4 linked regions of the Caenorhabditis elegans genome follow. The protein of the gene in region 3 purifies or fractionates together with the protein of the main gene of each other region. This does not show direct contact. Each region holds a gene or a part of one and is shown on either strand. Other genes may lie near its edges. The genes, in order: Y38A10A.7, F48E8.3, ZK632.4 and mek-2.

Evidence for each region.
Region 1: the proteins of ZK632.4 (region 3) and Y38A10A.7 fractionate together in Caenorhabditis elegans (co-fractionation; one large-scale study listed by BioGRID). This does not show direct contact.
Region 2: the proteins of ZK632.4 (region 3) and F48E8.3 fractionate together in Caenorhabditis elegans (co-fractionation; one large-scale study listed by BioGRID). This does not show direct contact.
Region 4: the proteins of ZK632.4 (region 3) and mek-2 fractionate together in Caenorhabditis elegans (co-fractionation; one large-scale study listed by BioGRID). This does not show direct contact.

Annotation. Positions count from the first base shown.
Region 1 is NC_003283.11:6,094,542-6,097,615, forward strand, and holds Y38A10A.7 (N-alpha-acetyltransferase 40), read left to right. Parts: upstream 1-1,655; 5' UTR 1,656-1,669; coding exon 1,670-1,770; intron 1,771-1,815; coding exon 1,816-2,154; intron 2,155-2,205; coding exon 2,206-2,362; 3' UTR 2,363-2,552; downstream 2,553-3,074. Other genes in the region: smut-1 (Synthetic MUTator), read left to right, coding at 2,564-2,696, 2,744-3,074.
Region 2 is NC_003281.10:5,459,652-5,464,924, reverse strand, and holds F48E8.3 (fumarate reductase (NADH)), read right to left. Parts: upstream 3,547-5,273; 5' UTR 3,510-3,546; coding exon 3,363-3,509; intron 2,957-3,362; coding exon 2,032-2,956; intron 1,674-2,031; coding exon 1,549-1,673; intron 1,166-1,548; coding exon 881-1,165; 3' UTR 543-880; downstream 1-542. Other genes in the region: F48E8.2 (E2F-associated phosphoprotein), read right to left, coding at 367-527.
Region 3 is NC_003281.10:9,804,961-9,809,316, reverse strand, and holds ZK632.4 (putative mannose-6-phosphate isomerase), read left to right. Parts: upstream 1-1,862; coding exon 1,863-1,994; intron 1,995-2,178; coding exon 2,179-2,287; intron 2,288-2,497; coding exon 2,498-2,710; intron 2,711-2,758; coding exon 2,759-2,938; intron 2,939-2,988; coding exon 2,989-3,605; 3' UTR 3,606-3,802; downstream 3,803-4,356. Other genes in the region: gtap-2 (Gamma-Tubulin Associating Protein), read right to left, coding at 1-34, 83-221, 330-445, 497-587, 643-771; riok-3 (Serine/threonine-protein kinase RIO3), read left to right, coding at 4,346-4,356. UniProt on the Caenorhabditis elegans protein: Involved in the synthesis of the GDP-mannose and dolichol-phosphate-mannose required for a number of critical mannosyl transfer reactions.
Region 4 is NC_003279.8:3,010,408-3,015,369, reverse strand, and holds the start of mek-2 (Dual specificity mitogen-activated protein kinase kinase mek-2), read left to right. Parts: upstream 1-1,921; 5' UTR 1,922-1,924; coding exon 1,925-2,011; intron 2,012-2,072; coding exon 2,073-2,252; intron 2,253-2,307; coding exon 2,308-2,526; intron 2,527-3,704; exon of another isoform or gene 3,705-3,762; coding exon of another isoform or gene 3,763-3,881; intron 3,882-3,941; coding exon of another isoform or gene 3,942-4,680; exon of another isoform or gene 4,681-4,686; intron 4,687-4,751; exon of another isoform or gene 4,752-4,877; intron 4,878-4,962. Other genes in the region: col-48 (Nematode cuticle collagen N-terminal domain-containing protein), read right to left, coding at 3,763-3,881, 3,942-4,680. UniProt on the Caenorhabditis elegans protein: Functions in the let-60 Ras signaling pathway; acts downstream of lin-45 raf kinase, but before the sur-1/mpk-1 gene product in controlling vulval cell differentiation. Required for progression of developing oocytes through the pachytene stage.

The sequences.
Region 1 (3,074 bases), on a different chromosome or scaffold from region 3:
CAGCCCTACCTTTTAGTGCGTATTTTATTAGTTAATGAAAACTACCATTAATAGGCAAAAATAGATGGATTTTCCAAACTTTGAAAATTCATAAATCTCTTCAAAGTAATTTTTTTTGAAATGACTTTCAGAAACTTTGTAGTAAATTTTAAGCTCTTTTAGAATATATTAACAATATTTCAGTAGGTACAAGAAGCTTCACGTAGTTACAGAAATAGTACATTTTCAGCCCCACCTTTTAGTGCGTATTTTATTATTCAAAAAAACTACCATTTATAAGCAGGAGATCCTCTGTTGACGTTAGCACACTCTTCACTATGCGAAATCAATTTAGAAGACTGCGTCTAAATTCCCGCAATTTTCGAAGATCAAACCGAGATGGGACATTCTGACACTACGTGCACAGTTGATCGTTTGTTAATATGGCCTGGTTTTTCCGCGTAGGTTTCGATGCTTTTTTCAGTTCATGATTGCACAAATTTGTTACATTTATGCATCCATCGAACGAAATTAAACCTAAATCAACAAATAAACTACCAAATATAGAGGGTAATTATTTATATTTATGAAAGTGGAGTTCAGGTCGCTGCGAGACTGTAAAGTTGGTAAAGTGTTAGATTCTGGCGGAACATTCCCTTTTTCCAAATCTTTGAAGCCTCCTAACTTCGCCTTATTGCGAGAACACTAAATTCTGAGAATACGTATTGCGCAACCTATTTGACGCGCAAAATGTCTTGTAGCGAAAACTACAATAATTATTTAAATGGCTACTGTAGAACTTGTGGCGATTTACGGGCTTGACTCTCGAAACGAATTTCAGTTTGAAGTATGACAGCAATTTTAATTTTCGTCCATTTTTTGAGACCCGAAGAACTCGGGGGATGTCCAATTGGGGGGATTACCAACTCGGGGGATTGGCCCCGCCCACAGAACCGTGGCTTGCAATACGCCCATTTCTGCCGCACGGTTTTTCATAACTGCCGCACGGTTTTAAAATTATTTTTTCTTGTTATTTCTCGCTCTATTGAGAAAAATACAGTTTTAAAACCGTGCGGCAGTTGCAGAAATGGGCGTATTGCAAGCCACGGTTCTGTGGGCGGGGCCAATCCCCCGAGTTGGTAATCCCCCCAATTGGACATCCCCCGAGTTCTTCGGGTCTCAGACTTCTGAACTTTTCGCATGGTTAAGAACGTGCTGTCGTAACACTTTTTGTATATTTCTATTAAACATCGTTTTTTATGCTGGATAGCTGTTTTATTTCTAATAATAAAAATTGAAAATATCTAACTAGCATTCAATTTCAGATGATACAGCGAAGAATGACCCTGAAAATATTAGCTAGGAGACATATTACAACTTAAAACATACGAAATGTAAATTTGTTTCCGATTATCAACAAAATTGTACATTTTAACGATATTTTTATCAATAAAGACTAATTTTTACATATAAATGTTAATTTAAAGCAAATCCGTGACTTGACGTGATGGTGTTTGCACACTTTTCACCACAATATACGACATTCAAGTTATATGCATTTTTTTCAAATGATTCTATCCTTTCTTTTCAGTATTCTTTACGGTTTTATTGATCAATTTGTCACCAGTATAATCGATCATGTTTTATTTCTCAATAATTGTAAAACAATTTTTCAGATATCGGCCCAAAAATGCCCGTAGACTCGAAAAAATTGGTCAAAAAAGCTTGTCAGCACATAAAACCAGTTGAGAAATTCGAATGCGAGACACAAAGAAGTACTACAACTGATGGGTAGGATCTTTGAATGATTTTCAAATTAATCTTTATTATTTTCAGCGAAACTATCAAATTCGATTACATGTGGGCGACACATTTGAGTGATGAAGACTTCGAGTGGGTGTTCAGTTTATTCAAAGAGAACATGTACGATATGTATCACAAATCCCAGTGGGGATACGATGAAAATTCCAAGCGAAACGAACTTCGTGCAACAACATCAAGGTTCATCATCGCGAAGAATTCGAAAGGGGATAAAATTGGCTATACCACTTATCGATTTGTGGTCGATCACAACATTCCTGTGGCATATTGTTGGGAACTTCAAATTGTACCGGCTTATCAGAACAAAGGAATCGGTGGCATGATGCTCGACACGCTGGAAAAGCTCTCTTCAAAGTACAGTTTCAATTAATTCGAGAGCCAATAAACAAAAACTCTTATTTTCAGGACAAACATGAGTAAAGTCATGGCAACAGTTTTTCTGTATAATGGACCGTCGCTCGGCTTCTTTCACAAACATGGATACAACAGCGACGTGACGTGCCCATCCGATGATTCTGGTCTGGATTATGCGATCCTGTCGAAAGAGACACCGAGCACATAAGAATATTAAATTCTGATTCTATGATTTTCTAATTTGTTATCATCTTCATTCTGGCTTAATTGTTACATGTATTTTTTTTTGGGTAAACAAACGTTTTTTATATTTCTACTTTTATAATATTGTGTCGTAAAAACCGTTACTTTTCGTTCAAATATTTATTTTCAAACCAAAATATAAACATTTTTGTAATAATCTTTGTAGATGCCTCATCCTTGGAACACTGCCGATGCATTAGACGATAGTCGGGTACAAGTTGAGCACATTGATTTAGTTCCTCCAAAGTATGCAAATGTACTCAACTTCAGATCTATTAAAACTAGAGATTATTATTTTGGTAAACCATGTTCTGGGCAATTAAATATTTCAATAACTTTTCTTCAGCAATGAGAGATCGTCATCAGCAGTTGGGCGCAGTCACATCTTCAAAAGCTGAAACTGACAAATTGAATAAACACTGTGAGGAGAACACGATAATGGTGGATCAAGACGGAGTAGAAACTCCAGCTGATTATGGAACAGAGAGGATGGTTGCACATGCAATAGAAGATCACCGACTTGCCGCCAATTTGCAACGAATAAAAGTTCATATTCTGAATGCAGTTCAACAAAAATCAATTCAAGCTATTCGTGACCGCCGAGGACTTCTAGTGGATGCTCCAACTGGAATCGGGAAGACTTATGCGTTTCTTATTCCGGCGATTGAAATTGCATT
Region 2 (5,273 bases), 4.3 Mb from region 3:
CTAGGAATACTGTGTTTGTTTGATCAGCGGGATAGTTTTGAAATAAAACTTGATTTTTCGATGAAGTAGGGATATTTCTCAAAAATGATTTTCTATTGAACCAACATATTAAAATTTAGCTACAGTAACCAAAAAAGGTCGTTTTCTTTGAATACTTCTGCATGGAGTACTGTAGCAAGAATTTCAGCTGCGTCGGGGATTACTGCTACCGTAACCTGCGAGCGGTGTCTGATTTTTTTAAAAGGTGGAAACTTAGAAATTCATGTGATTTTAGTGAAAAATAGTTTTTTTTTCCAAAATTTTTACGCTGTGCATTTCCTTTTTTTGGCATTGATTACAATTTCTCCCATTTTCCAGTGTATTTACCTCACATCATCCTCTGAATCAAAAACTTCATCCCCAACAGCTCCACCGAGATAATAATCATCATCCATTTTTTCAAAAGCAAGTCTACGCATCGTTGCTGCGGTCACTTCATCTGCTGGATATTGGTCATCGAACGTCTCATCGTCATCGTTGATCATCATCGTCTGCCGCTTCTTCTGAAAATAAAACACATTTATTACCCAAAAACACACCACAATACGAAGAAGGAAACACGATAAATACGAGAGAGTGTGAAAATGAAGAGAAAATGAGAAATAAATATATGTGTAGAAGAACCCATAAAGATGCAAATCACAAGAAAAATAAAAATGCTGAATAGAGTAGTAGATATAATAAAAACATATAAAGTTGGTTGGAACTAGTAAATGAATCATTATCTACAGGGGTCCGGGAATCCCGGATCGCGAAAAAATGTTTTTTTTAACTGAAAATTTCTGAATTATACTGTAGAATTGAGCCACAAAACTGAGTTTTTTCTGTAAAAATATTCGAATTAGAGCTCGGTACGAGTCTCCGCAGCAGATTGAGCCGCAGATTTTCCAGCAATTCTGCCAAACACCACACATTCAAGCAGGGAATTTCCAGCCAATCGATTGGAACCATGAACTCCGCCAGTGACTTCTCCAGCGGCAAAAAGGCCGACAATTGGCTTGCCATGCTCATCGATGACGCGGGTGGCCTCGTCGATTTTCAGGCCACCCATGGTGTAGTGGATTGCTGGGACGACGATTGCTGCGTAGATTGGCTCAGTCGGAGAGATTGCAGACACTGGGAACACCTGGAAATGGGAAATTATTACAGTTTCGGTATTTTTCGGCTAATTCCGATGCAAAAATAACTTTGTTTTTACAGTTTCGATATTTTTTTTTGCTGAACGATATTTTTTTAATTTTGAAAAAAAATTTAGGCTTGGGAAAGTTTAAATTGAAAATAGATCGTCAAATATTCGGGGAAAGATTTTCTCGATATTTTTCAACGTTTTACTCAAAGTTTCTAATAATACAATTTCAGCACAATTTTTCCTAAATCTATGAATTTTAGTTTTTCTTTCACTTTTCTGATTTTATAAAGTCTGTTTTAAAAGTAAATGCAATTTTGATCAACTTTTCAGAATTCTTAGTCATTTTTTCAAGAATTTTAAAATTAAAAATATTTGAATACCTTTTTGCCGAAAGGATCTTCAGATTTTCCATCAAAACTCTTCTGATATTCCTCCAAAGTGGTTTTAATAGCTGATTCGTCGATACCCAAAGCCTTTGCAAGCTCCGCGGAGTTCTCGTATTTCGCTGAAAAAAATCAGATTTCAGAGCAATAATACAATTTTCATAATATAAAACTAAAAATTAAAAAAATTAATTTGAAAAAGGGAATTTTTAAAAATTTCAGAAATTCCGGAAAAAAAAATTAGTTTTGGATTTAAAATGCTTTTAAACTCCAAAAAAAAGGAAGCTGATAAAATTTTCGACAAAAAAATCTTTAAACTGGGAATTTTTAATACGAAGATTTTGTCGAACTTATTCTCGAGAAGTGTTAATGGATTTCGAAAAAAAAAATGAAATTTGAAAAAAATTGTTTGGGATTTTTCAAATAACAAACAACTAATTTAAAAAATGTTTTCCAACTTTTTCACAGAAAAAAACCTACCAAAGAATTTCTTAACAATCGAATAAAAATTGAAAGCAGGTCTGCCAAAAGCCTCAACATTTGCTTCATTCATAATCATAATCGCCGCATTTCTTCCAGCAGATCCTCCTTGGAAACTCTCTTCAATTGGCTCAGCGAGCTCAAGAATCTTTCCAGTTAAATAATCGCGTCTTCCCAACTCATTTCCAAATCTTTGTCCCTTTGAGTTAATAAGCAGAGCTCCTTTTCCACGAATAGCCTCAGCCGCCAGGAACTTTGTTCCTGCTGATGGATCTTTTGGATCTACAAACGCTGTAGGATGAATCTGAATATTTTCCATTCCAATAATCTTTGCTCCAAGAGCTCTCGCAATTTTCACACCATCTCCTTTAGCGAATGCTCCATTTGTTGTTGGGAATCCGAATATTTCAGCTCCAAATTCCTTGAGCAAAGTTTCATCAGCAGAGAATCCACCGGTTGCAAGGATTACAGCGTCTCCGATGATCTTTGATTTCTCTCCAGAAGCTGATGTTACAATCTCGATTCCCGATACTTTTCCATTTTCTCTCAAAATTCCAACCATTTTAGTCTGAGTCAAAAGCTTGAAGGCTTCTGGATTCTCCGATTGCTTCTCATTAAGCCTTGTTCTCAATCTCTTCATAATTTCGAAACCAGCTGGTATTGGTCGTCCTTCCTTTGGAGATGGAATCCAATGAGTACGTGGTACAGAATGCCCACCACATAGATTCACATCAGTCAGATCCACTTCAACTCCACGCAGAAATTCAACAGCATCTGCTGAATTAGCAGCCAGAATTTCCACAAGTTTCTTGTCATTTTCAGAGTCTCCTGCACTCAGAGTGTCCTTGACAAGAAGTTCCGGCGAATCTTTGATTCCCAGTTTCTCCTGAGTTTCGGTTCCAGCACCGTTGATTCCGCTGGATGCCTGGAATATTTTTTTCAAGAAGTGAGGATATTGGACACTTTTTTTAAAAATCACCTAGACTTACTAAAACATTTTACTGTAATTTGGCATACTTAATTTTGAAATTTTTCAGAACGAGAATTTGTTACTCTTTTTTTTTATTTCCAGCTTTTTCACACGATTTAACTGTTTTTAAATTTGAAAATTTCTTACAATCGAAATTTTTTAATTTATCATATTTTTTCAGAGACGTTTCAGTTTTAAAGGAAAAAAAACAGAATATTATTTTTTTTCACAATTTGCAACTAATAGTAAAATAAATAACTTTTTCAGAAATTTGGAACAAAAAAATGCGAGAAAATAAATTTTAACAATCGATATTTCCAGAAGTTAAATAGATTTTTTTCAAAAATTCGCAAGATCTTACCTTCGCTGAATTTCCACCAGTATTTCCCTCTCCCTCTACCAAAATCACACGTCCACCTCCATTGATAATATCCAGTGAAGCAGACAGCCCGGCGAGCCCACCTCCAACAACAACGACAGTTGGCTCAGCATGAAGCACAGAAGCCATAACTGTAAGCGAAATGAGCACCCGAATCATCAAATGTCTGTCAATGGGGAAATTTCAACAACGGACACAAAGGGAAATTATAGAAAATGATAGAAAATTGGTTAAAACCGCCGAAAAAATTAGACAGAATTATTTTTTAAAAACCCATTATTTATGGAATGTCTAACATAGGAGAAAAACCGAAAAAAAGGGAAAATATAAAATAAATTAAAGCTGATTTTTGAATAAATATATTCACATGGATAAGGCATCTGGGAAGCATGAAAAAAAAGTGATGGGGAAAAACAATCAATAATTCATAACCGTAACTATTCACATTTACTTTTGATCTAGTAGTATCGATACTACAGTGCTCCACATAATGATACGGCCACCCCAAATTTTGGTATAACTCAAAACTGGGTTGAGATAGCAAAACATAGTTTCTTGTGAAAATGTTCGCTGTACTAACTTACTTTCAGATAAGTATTGGAAATATACCTGAACCGTTTGTAAAAAAGATAAACCATTTTTTCATGAAAAACCATATTTAAAAAATCCACAAAATGATACGGCCACCCTTGGTTTTCGTTTTCTTTTTTCGTTTTCTTTGCAATTTTTTTTGCTAAACGTTAAGTTTCATGTTCGTTTGTGTTTTTACAGTTATGGGTCGTGGAATAACTTCAACTGACTGCGAAAAAGGACAAATTGTGCCAAATTATCTCAAGGCTTCTCGAATCGTCAGATTTTTCGTGATTTGGAAACTTTCGAGAGATATGATCACTCGATATGCTTCCAATCCTGCCGCTTATTGCACAAAAAAGTCTTCTGGTCGCACACCTTTTCTTTCTGTCAGACCCAAAAAAAAAACCGTTCGTCGAGCATCCAATTGAACAGTGACTTGCTCGAAAAGTAGGAGCGAGATGAACCTGGCAGTGTCTGTTGAGGCCGTACGACATGTCCTTTTGAAGTCTCAGTTTAACAAAAGACGAAAATTAAGAAAGGCTCCATTCATTACCAAAAAACCGCCAAAACCGTATTCAGTTTGCTAAAATCAGTCAGGGAACTAACTGAAGACAAGTGAGGATTACGGTATAATCATTCAAGCCCAGTTTTTGGTTTCAGTTCATCTTCAGTGACGAGAAAAAGTTTAACTGTAATGAACCAGATTACTACCGTGATTAGTGGCACGATTTGAGAAAAGAAAAGATGAACTGAAACCAAAAACTGGGCTTGAATGATTATACCGTAATCCTCACTTGTCTTCAGTTAGTTCCCTGACTGATTTTAGCAAACTGAATACGGTTTTGGCGGTTTTTTGGTAATGAATGGAGCCTTTCTTAATTTTCGTCTTTTGTTAAACTGAGACTTCAAAAGAACATGTCGTACGGCCTCAACAGACACTGCCAGGTTCATCTCGCTCCTACTTTTCGAGCAAGTCACTGTTCAATTGGATGCTCGACGAACGGTTTTTTTTTTGGGTCTGACAGAAAGAAAAGGTGTGCGACCAGAAGACTTTTTTGTGCAATAAGCGGCAGGATTGGAAGCATATCGAGTGATCATATCTCTCGAAAGTTTCAAATCACGAAAAATCTGACGATTCGAGAAGCCTTGAGATAATTTGGCACAATTTGTCCTTTTTCGTAGTCAGTTGAAGTTATTCCACGACCCATAGCTGTAAAAACACAAACGAACATGAAACTTAACGTTTAGCAAAAAAAATTGCAAAGAAAACGAAAAAAGAAAACGAAAACCAAGGGTGGCCGTATCATTTTGTGGATTTTT
Region 3 (4,356 bases):
TCATCAACTGGATATACATTCGCTGTATTGTTTGCTGAAATTTCATAGTGTTATTTTAAAAAACATTTTTAGTATTTCTTACGTGGTGATATCTCATCTTTTTCTGCCACTTTGCGTGTTCTCAGTGCTGGAGAAATATCCCATGCTAATTGTGGAATGTTATTTCGTACAATTGGTTTTGAATATAATCTGTATTTATATTCACCATCGATTCGTACCATCTGTAATTTGAATTAATTTATTCTGGGATTGAAAAATATAAAAATGAGCAGTTTTCTAGAAGATTTCTCGAGAAAAACCTTACAAAATTTGTGAAAATAAAAATTTACCAATTTTTGGGACAACGAGACTTCTTTCAAGCTATTCTCAAAATCCTCATCTGACAACCGGGAAGTTGCGACCAGCACAAAATAGTGGAGAGCATCATCCTGTTCTTCCAGCTGATCTAAAAATATTTAAACTCAAACAAAAATTGCTTTAAACTATAGATGTATACCTAGGACTTCAGAGACAACCGGGCGAAATGCTTCTAGCTTTAGAGTAACCAGCCGTTCATTCAAATCATCCGTCAATTCGTGAGCTGTCAACTGAAATTTTGAATTGAGCTCCAAGATGTTTCTTTTGAAGAATTGTCAAACCTACAGGATTCCCGTTTGAGTCTCGTAAGGGCTGATTTTTATTGATCAGATAGAGACACTCCAAATCTGATATTGTTTGGCACTGTTGCACATTTTGTTCCCCATGTATTAGAAAGCTTAATGTGCTTAGCATTTCTGAAAAAAACAATTTAAAAAGGATTCAGTTTTATTGAAATTAGAAAAAAAAACAGTGGCAATTGAAAAAACAACAAAAAAACATTAGGAGGAGTTTAGTAGAGCACGCCTGCATCACACTTTATGGAACATCAGTCTCAGTAGAAATGAATCCACCATTATGACTAAGTTTTTAGAGTATTAGTTGCCATTTATATAAAGTTTTTTAAAAATATTTTATGCTACTGTAAATTTTGTATTGTTTGAATTTAAATTTATAAAATTTACATCTTTACTCATAGTTCTCGACTATTGAATATTAGAACATGCACTTCTACGGAACATTTTTTCCATTGTTTCCATAGAGCCTGTAAAAACCATTTTTTGTGAAAAAACTTGTTGCTTTCAAAAATAAATAAACTTTCATCAAAGTTCTATTCTGATTCTCTGAAATAATTTTTCATTAATTTACACTTTGTTGTTCGATCTTTTGTGACCTTCATTGGCTAAGAAATGTCCCGATTTTTGTATTTAAAAACCACTTCCGGCATTAACCTGCTTCAAAATCAGCGATCAAGGAATTTCTCAGTTTTGCCGCATGTTGTCGTCGCCATGTTGCGTGCGTTCATCGTGTAAATAATCACCGAGAATACGATCTATCTCTCTCTTATGATCCCACCCATAAATCTGTCTCCGACAATCATTTGATTTGTCTGAAAATTTACGACCTTTCTCTACAATTAGTTTAGGCAGTCACGTTGACGCAATCTCACACGCATACCCACTCAAGATATGAAAAAAGTCGACGGTCGCACTCGTTTTATAGTTCTGATCTCAGCGTTTTCAATCTGCGTCTCCGAGCCTCTCGGTCATATATATGTATTCCGTGTCTTCCAGTTCGGAAGTCTTTTTCTCTTGTCTTATGGTCAACTTATGACTGATTATATTTAGTCACGTGTCGATTTTAGCGCATGCGTTGATCAGAGAAAACTAGAGAGATCAGTCGTTTACCGTCATTTTGATGCATTATATCTTTTATTTTCTCCCTAACTCATATTTCGAACATAATCTGTTCTCTCAAAACATTTCTTCCATAATTCATGTTTTCAGATGCTTCTGAAGCTAAAGTGCACTGTCAATAACTACGCATGGGGACCCAAAGGAAATTCTAGCATGGCTGGAAGTCTTGCATTAGATGGTGGTCATATTCCAAATCTTGACAAAGACAAACCATACGCTGAAGTGAGTAATGAAACATGTATCTATTTCCGTTCTAATTAAAGCGATTCTCAATCTATTTGTGGCGTCTTACCGTGGTTTCTGACCTTATGTCGTGACTTTCGAAGATTGTGTCGTCGATCACCTGATCAGATCGGCCTACATCACTCCCGAAACACGTTCTCTTTCATCATCTTTATTATTACAGTTCTGGGTGGGAACTCACGCTAACGGGCCGGCCCACGTCATCGAAAAAGACATCGCTCTTAAACAACTTTTGGCTACATCGCCAGAGTTACAGGGAAAACATGAAAAAGGTGAATAAAATAAATATTCTTTACTGTTCTGGCTTGGGAATGGTCTAACTGGCTTGAAACTTATGTAATTTGGAAGTTAAGAGATCAGCAAAAAGGAATATCCAATTCGATGTCAGCTTCCGAATGACATAAATTTCAAGCCAATTGATACATTTCAATTCCTTAAAGAACAACATGACCTTGTCAATAAATATTAATTATTTCTTTCAGGCAACCTTTCATTCCTCTTCAAAGTGCTTTCCGTTCTTGGACCACTCTCAATCCAAATTCATCCAACAAAAGAACAAGGAAAACTTCTTCATGCTACAGATCCGAAGAACTATCCAGATGACAACCACAAACCAGAGATCGCAATTGCTCTGACTGAATTCGAGCTTCTTTCCGGATTTCGGCAACATTCACAAATTAGTGAATATCTGAAATGTAATTATCACAATTAGATTATAAGCATTAAAATTTGCTTTTTTTCAGTGTACTCTGAAATTCAAGAATTGCTCACCGAAGAAGAGAAAAGTCAAATCGACAGTTTAGGATCTTATGGAGAGAGTTCTGCACAGGTTCTCAAAAAGATCTTCTCAAGAATTTGGCGAACTCCAAAGGAAAAACTTCAAATAGTTGTTGATAAACTTGCCAGACGAATTCAAGGACATGGTAAGCGATATTTTTGAATGAATATCTTCTTTTTAATTACTAAATTTCAGAAAACAAAACGGCTCTTGATGAAATAATTGTCTACCTTTTCACATTGTACCCTGGAGATGTTGGTGTATTTGCTCCAATTTTCTTGAACTACTTCAAATTACAACCTGGAGAGGCAACATTTTTAGAACCAAACATGCCACATGCTTATTTGAAAGGAGATTGTGTTGAGTGTATGGCAGACAGTGACAATACTATTCGAGCTGGATTAACACCAAAATATATTGATGTAGAATCATTGGTTGAAATGTTGAATTATGATGAGACCCTGCTTCCAAAATATATTCCAAATGAACTGGACGATGGATCACTACTATTTACTCCACGTGGAATTGATGAGTTCTGGGTGCAGGAAGTCAAAGGACCCGCTGGATCGATCTACCAACTTCCTTACTCCGAATCATGTTCTGTCTTGACGGTTCTCTATGGTACTGCAACAGTTACATTGGGAGATGCATCACAAGTATTGAATCGAGGAGAAGTCGTTTTCATTGGAGCTACACATGACGCTGAACGTCCCAAGATTAATATTTCTGATGATTTTCTTGCATTCCGAGCGTTCACACCATCACCAAGAGCCCTCGAAAGTCTTTCAAATAAGCGTCTGATTATTGATTAATTCAGAAATCTTTTTATGTCTTTATATAATTCACCACAGTTTTACGCAATGATTGTATTTAAAAATTAAACTTGCCATGCTATAGCTTCCACGTTATTTCAGCTAAAAATTGGAATTTTGGAATTTCAATTACATACAAAAGTGCTAGTCACTGTTTTTCATTATCTAGGGTTGTTCATAATAAATTTTTATTCCTTATTTTTCAATTCTTAATAATTATTTGAGGATTTTTATTCATTGTTTACATTACTTCCTTCTTTCTTACGATTAGCGCTGCCTGGCCGGTCGTTAAAATTTCAAATAATGTTCTATTCAATAATTTTCGGAGGTTTATTGTAAAATCCTGTATTTTATATTGAAAAAATGCTAAAATTGAACAATTATCAACAAAAAAAGGTTTTGTATTGGTTCTGCTAAATTATTGTGTCCTTCACGTCCCTAACATAAATAATTAGCATACCATACTTGGGTCTGCTAAATAGCTATGGTCTGCTAAATATTTAGCATACCATGCTTGGGTCTGCTAAATAGCTATGGTCTGCTAAACATTTAGCAGACCATATGGCCATGGCCGTTCAAACTACACCCTCGTCCCTCTGACAGGACAAATATTGATTGCATTGCGAAACATTCCACAACTGGACAAATTTTCAATTATTCAACAATACAATTGCCATTTTTTGATTTAATTTCGTTTCAGTAGATAGTTTGCCGTTTTCTCCAAGCTTTCAAGCCAGACAATGGCGAATTG
Region 4 (4,962 bases), on a different chromosome or scaffold from region 3:
TTTCGTGAAATGCACGTCTTAAAACGTCTAATAAGCTTATATTTCCAAGAAATATCGATTTAAATCGGAAAAAAGACTACTGATGCGTCTTGGAATTGTTTGCTCTTTATCTCTTCTCATCTCTGTTTTTTCGACAAAAAAGCTGAAATAAATCGAATAAATCAGGCAGTATTGTTCTGAAATGAAAAATTTGCAGAAAAATGGTATTTTTCCATTTTTTTCATCAAAAGAAGCACCAATCGTGGAGAAAGTCCCTTCTTCTACGTAGAAATCCCCGTTTTCTATATAATTCCTCTCATCGAGACTTATATTATCCGATTAGCAGGTCAAAAATCCCCGTTTTTGGCACGGATCCACTGAAATCTCAATAAAAATCACATTTTCTCGAAGAAAAAAGCAACAAAAGAGCCGTCATCCCCCTCTCAAATTTCCTCTCCTCCTCAATTTCGATTAAATTTTTAATTATTTAGGCGCTTTTTCTGCTCTCTTTTTTCTTGCTCCAGCAGCGGCTCCCCGCATCTCTCATCGCCTTCTTCTCTTTTCTTCTCGCTTGACCGAGCTCTCGCAGTCCGGAAAAGCAGTCAATAAGCTAGAGAGCCGTGCTTTTTTTTCACCTGTTCTCAAAAATCGCCACTTCACGACAGGTTATATTCATCAATCAATTCATCACGTTTTTGCCTCGATTTCAGAGAAAACTAGTTGTTTCGGAAGAAATTAATCGCGAAATTTTTTTTATTTTCCCTTTTTTCAGACGGCTAAAATCACGTGGAAATTTATAATTGTATAGGTTTTCACTCAAATTGGCTCGAAATAGCTCGAAAAAATTCCAAAATGTGTATGGCGAATCAAAATTCGAAAAAAAAAAACCAAAATTTGCTAAAATCAGCGGCTAAAAATCCAGTTTTCATTGAATTATCTTCATTTTTTTAGAATTTTTGGCTTTTTGCCACCCAAAAATGGTCTCAAGCATTGAAAAAACACTGCGACAAGGAAAAGTTGACAAAATGTAGGATTTTAGCAATTTTTGCTTCAAAAACACGCCAAAAAACAGTTTTGGAATTTTTTAAAAATATGTAATTTTAGGTCATTCTGAGTATATTTAAGTGAAAACCCTCTTTAAAGGTGAAGTACCGAAATTCGAATCTTTGCTTTTTTAGACCCAAATTGGTCCAAAACTACCGAATTTCGTAATGAAACGTTTCGAAAATTTCTCAAAAAAAAGTTATGGCGGTTCAAAGTTCGGCAAATTAAGGCCCACAAAATTAAGGCCCAACGTCTGGAACCCAATTTTTATTTATTTATCACTTTTTAATAAATATTGCGGTCTTTTATTAGGCTTTTATTCGTTGTTTTAAGTACATTTATGGTCAGTGGGCACAAAATGTAACTTTTATTTGTGCCCCAAAGGCCAGAAATATGCTTAAAACAACGAATAAACGCCCAATCAAAGACCACAATATTTATTAAAAAGTGATGAATAAATAAAAATTAGGTTCCAGACGTTGCGACACCGAGAAGTTGGAAAAAATTTTGATTTTAGCTGAAAGTTGGCCTTATTTTGCCGAACTTTGGACCGTCATAACTTTTTTTTGAGAAATTTTCAGAATGTTTCATTACGAAATTCGGTAGTTTTGGACCAACTTGCGTCTAAAAAAACAAAGTCTCAAATTTCGGTACTCCACCTTTGATTTCTGAAAAAAAACTCTGCTTTCAGTTAAAATTACCAAAGAAACTAAATATTTTTAATATTTCCTGACTAATTTTTAGAAAATTAAATAGTTCTGAGTATTTTCTGAATTAGACTCCAAAAATCGCTAAATTTTCCCATTTTCCCCAGTTTTTCATAAGTTTTCTTGGAATTTTCCTCGTTTTTTTTCTAAAAAAAACCTCTCGATTAAAATAAAATCCAACTATTTTCCAGATAATGTCGAGCGGAAAACGGCGTAATCCGTTGGGACTCAGTCTACCACCGACAGTAAATGAACAAAGTGAAAGTGGCGAGGCGACGGCGGTAATAATTTAAAATTATTTTTAATTTTTAAATATTGAATTTAAAAAATATAAATTTCCAGGAAGAAGCCACCGCGACAGTCCCACTAGAAGAACAGCTGAAAAAGCTCGGGCTCACGGAGCCACAAACTCAACGGCTCAGCGAATTCTTGCAGGTCAAGGAGGGCATCAAGGAGTTGAGTGAGGATATGCTACAGACTGAAGGAGAACTTGGCCATGGAAATGGAGGAGTTGTTAATAAGGTTGGAATTTGCTGAAATAAGCTGGAATTTGGAAATAAAAAGTTCAATTTTTCAGTGTGTTCATCGAAAAACCGGTGTAATTATGGCTCGGAAGCTTGTACACCTCGAGATCAAGCCGTCAGTCCGACAACAGATCGTCAAAGAGCTCGCCGTACTTCACAAGTGCAATAGTCCATTCATTGTTGGATTCTACGGGGCTTTTGTGGACAATAACGATATATCAATTTGTATGGAGTATATGGATGGGCTTTCACTTGATATAGTTTTGAAAAAGGTAATAGTTTATTGGAAAATGTGCGGGTATGTTGGAAAATGATATGGTGGACAGTTCTCGCAGGATTCTCGGATTCGGCTTGTCCTTGTGATCCGCATTGTCGATCTGACCAAGCTTCTACTCGGAGTACCTGGCTCTGCCGATGGTCCGAATGATCCTTGTGATCCTGAAGCTCCGACCTTCTTCCCGGTACCTGGAATTCCGTCTTTCCAGAGGTTCCTGGCGGATCCTGTTCAGAAGATCGAACTCCGGCGTCTCAATTGCTTCCGTCTTGTCCTGGAGATCTGCTCTTTCCCGGATGTCCTGGTGGGCTTGCTGGAGCGTTTCCTTCTGGAAGAAGTTCTCCAGGCTCTCCTGTGGTCCAGAAGCTCACGGGCATTATGGCGGAATCGGGAGAGTTCAATCACGAAGCTCGTCCTGGTGATCCTGGATCACCTGATTCTCCGACTTTTCTATGGTTCCTGGCGGTCCCTGAGCTCGCTGGTGGGCAGTGCTCGCACAATCCTGGTATTCGGCTTGCCCTCCTCCTGGGAGAAGTGCTCCAGGCTCTGCCGATGGTCCGGATGATCCTTGTGATCCTGAAGCTCCGTCCTTCTTCCCAGCACCTGGAAGTCCGTCTTTCCAGAGGTTCCTGGCTGAACATATTCAGAAGATCGTCCAATAAAAAGCTCGTCATTCTGGATTTTTAAACGAAATCTTTGGCTCACCCTGCTCTCCAGCAACTCCGTACGTGGTGTCTGTCCGCTGTCCCATTACGGTTTGACCTACAAAAAATGCGGCAATTTTTTCCCCAAAAAATGTGACGTCAGCTGAAAATTCTTCGTCTCGACTCCCGCATTTTTTGTAGATCTCGGTAGATCAAACCAAAACGGGGCAGCCTGGCACCACGTGCTCCGACGTCTCAACTTCTTCCGTCTTGTCCTGGAGATCTGCCCTTTCCAGGATGCCGTGAGCCTCCTGTCCGTCTTGATGGCCTAGTTGGGTTTGCTGGAGTGTCTCCTTCTGGAAGAAGCACTCCAGGCTCTCCTGTGCTCCCCCAATACCTCCAACAGAAGCTCACGGTGCTCTCCTGGTTCTTGACCTAGTTCTCTTTCCAGAGGTTCCTGGCGATACCTGAGCTCACCGTGCTTCACAAGCCTCTTCACCCTTTTTTTTATTAAATGGACAACTACGACATATCGATTGAAAAAATAATATAGTTTATTCGAAAATGTACAGACAGACTCGCATAAGCTTCTAATATCCTGGAGCAAGACGTGCTGGTGGGCAGTGCTCGCACGATCCTGGAGATCCGGCGTCTCCTGGCGATCCTGGAGTTCCGGCTTGTCCTGGTGGTCCTGGTGGTCCGCGTTGTCCTGAAACAAATTTAACGTTTAGAAGAAGAAGAAGAAGCCTAGCTTATCATGATAATTTACCTGGCTCTCCAGCAACTCCGGCGTCTCCGTTGCTTCCGTCTTGTCCTGGAGATCCGGCCTTTCCTGGCTGTCCTGGTGCTCCTGGCCGTCCTGGTGGTCCGGATGGGCCTGGTGGAGCGTCTCCTCCTGGAAGAAGTGCTCCAGGCTCTCCTGGTGGTCCGCGTTGTCCAGGCTGTCCTGGTTGCCCAGGTGGTCCCGGTGGTCCGGATGGTCCTTGTGGTCCTGGAGCTCCATCCTCTCCGTTTCTTCCCGGGTTACCTGGAATTCCATCTTGTCCTGGTGGTCCTGGTGGTCCTCCAAGTCCTGGAGCAGCAGTGCATGGGCATTGTGGTGGAACCGGGAGAATTCGATCATGAAGCTCGGCATCAGGTCCTGGTGGTCCTGGCTCTCCTGGTCCTTGACCTGGTTCTCCGTCTTTTCCAGGAGTTCCTGGCTCTCCATCTGGTCCTGGTGGTCCCTGTTGGCATGTGCAGCATTGAGCATCAGCTTGACGTGTAGCTCTGAGCAGAACATCAAGTGGATCATCAGCACCTTCCGGTGCAACCTCGACCATCTCACGCCACATATCCCGAGATCGGGACTTGCAGTACTCAACCTCTCCTTGTACGGAAGCTTGAAGGGTCTGCACATAGTGGAATACCAATGGGAAAGCGATAAGCACAGCAGTCACTGCGACTGTGGAGAATGTGACGGCGACGAACGCCACACTTCGCAACGATCCCTTGCTCTTCTCGTCCATCTGAAATTCTATGAATTTTCTAGAATATTCGAACAAAGAATCAAAGGTGAAGAAGGGAAATGAAAAATGTCAGAAGTGTCAAAAGAATAAGAAGAAGAAGCCTACACAGTCATTTGCCGTTGCCCCCGAGTGCTTATATGCGGCCGCTGTGGTGGAACGAAACGGCAAGTCGCGCACTTCTGTGTGCGCTGCGTCTCATCGTTGCGCACGCAATTTCCGTGCGCCCCGCGCAGTGAACATCCCTTGCGTTTTTTTTTTCGATTTCCTCATCTTCTCCGCCCG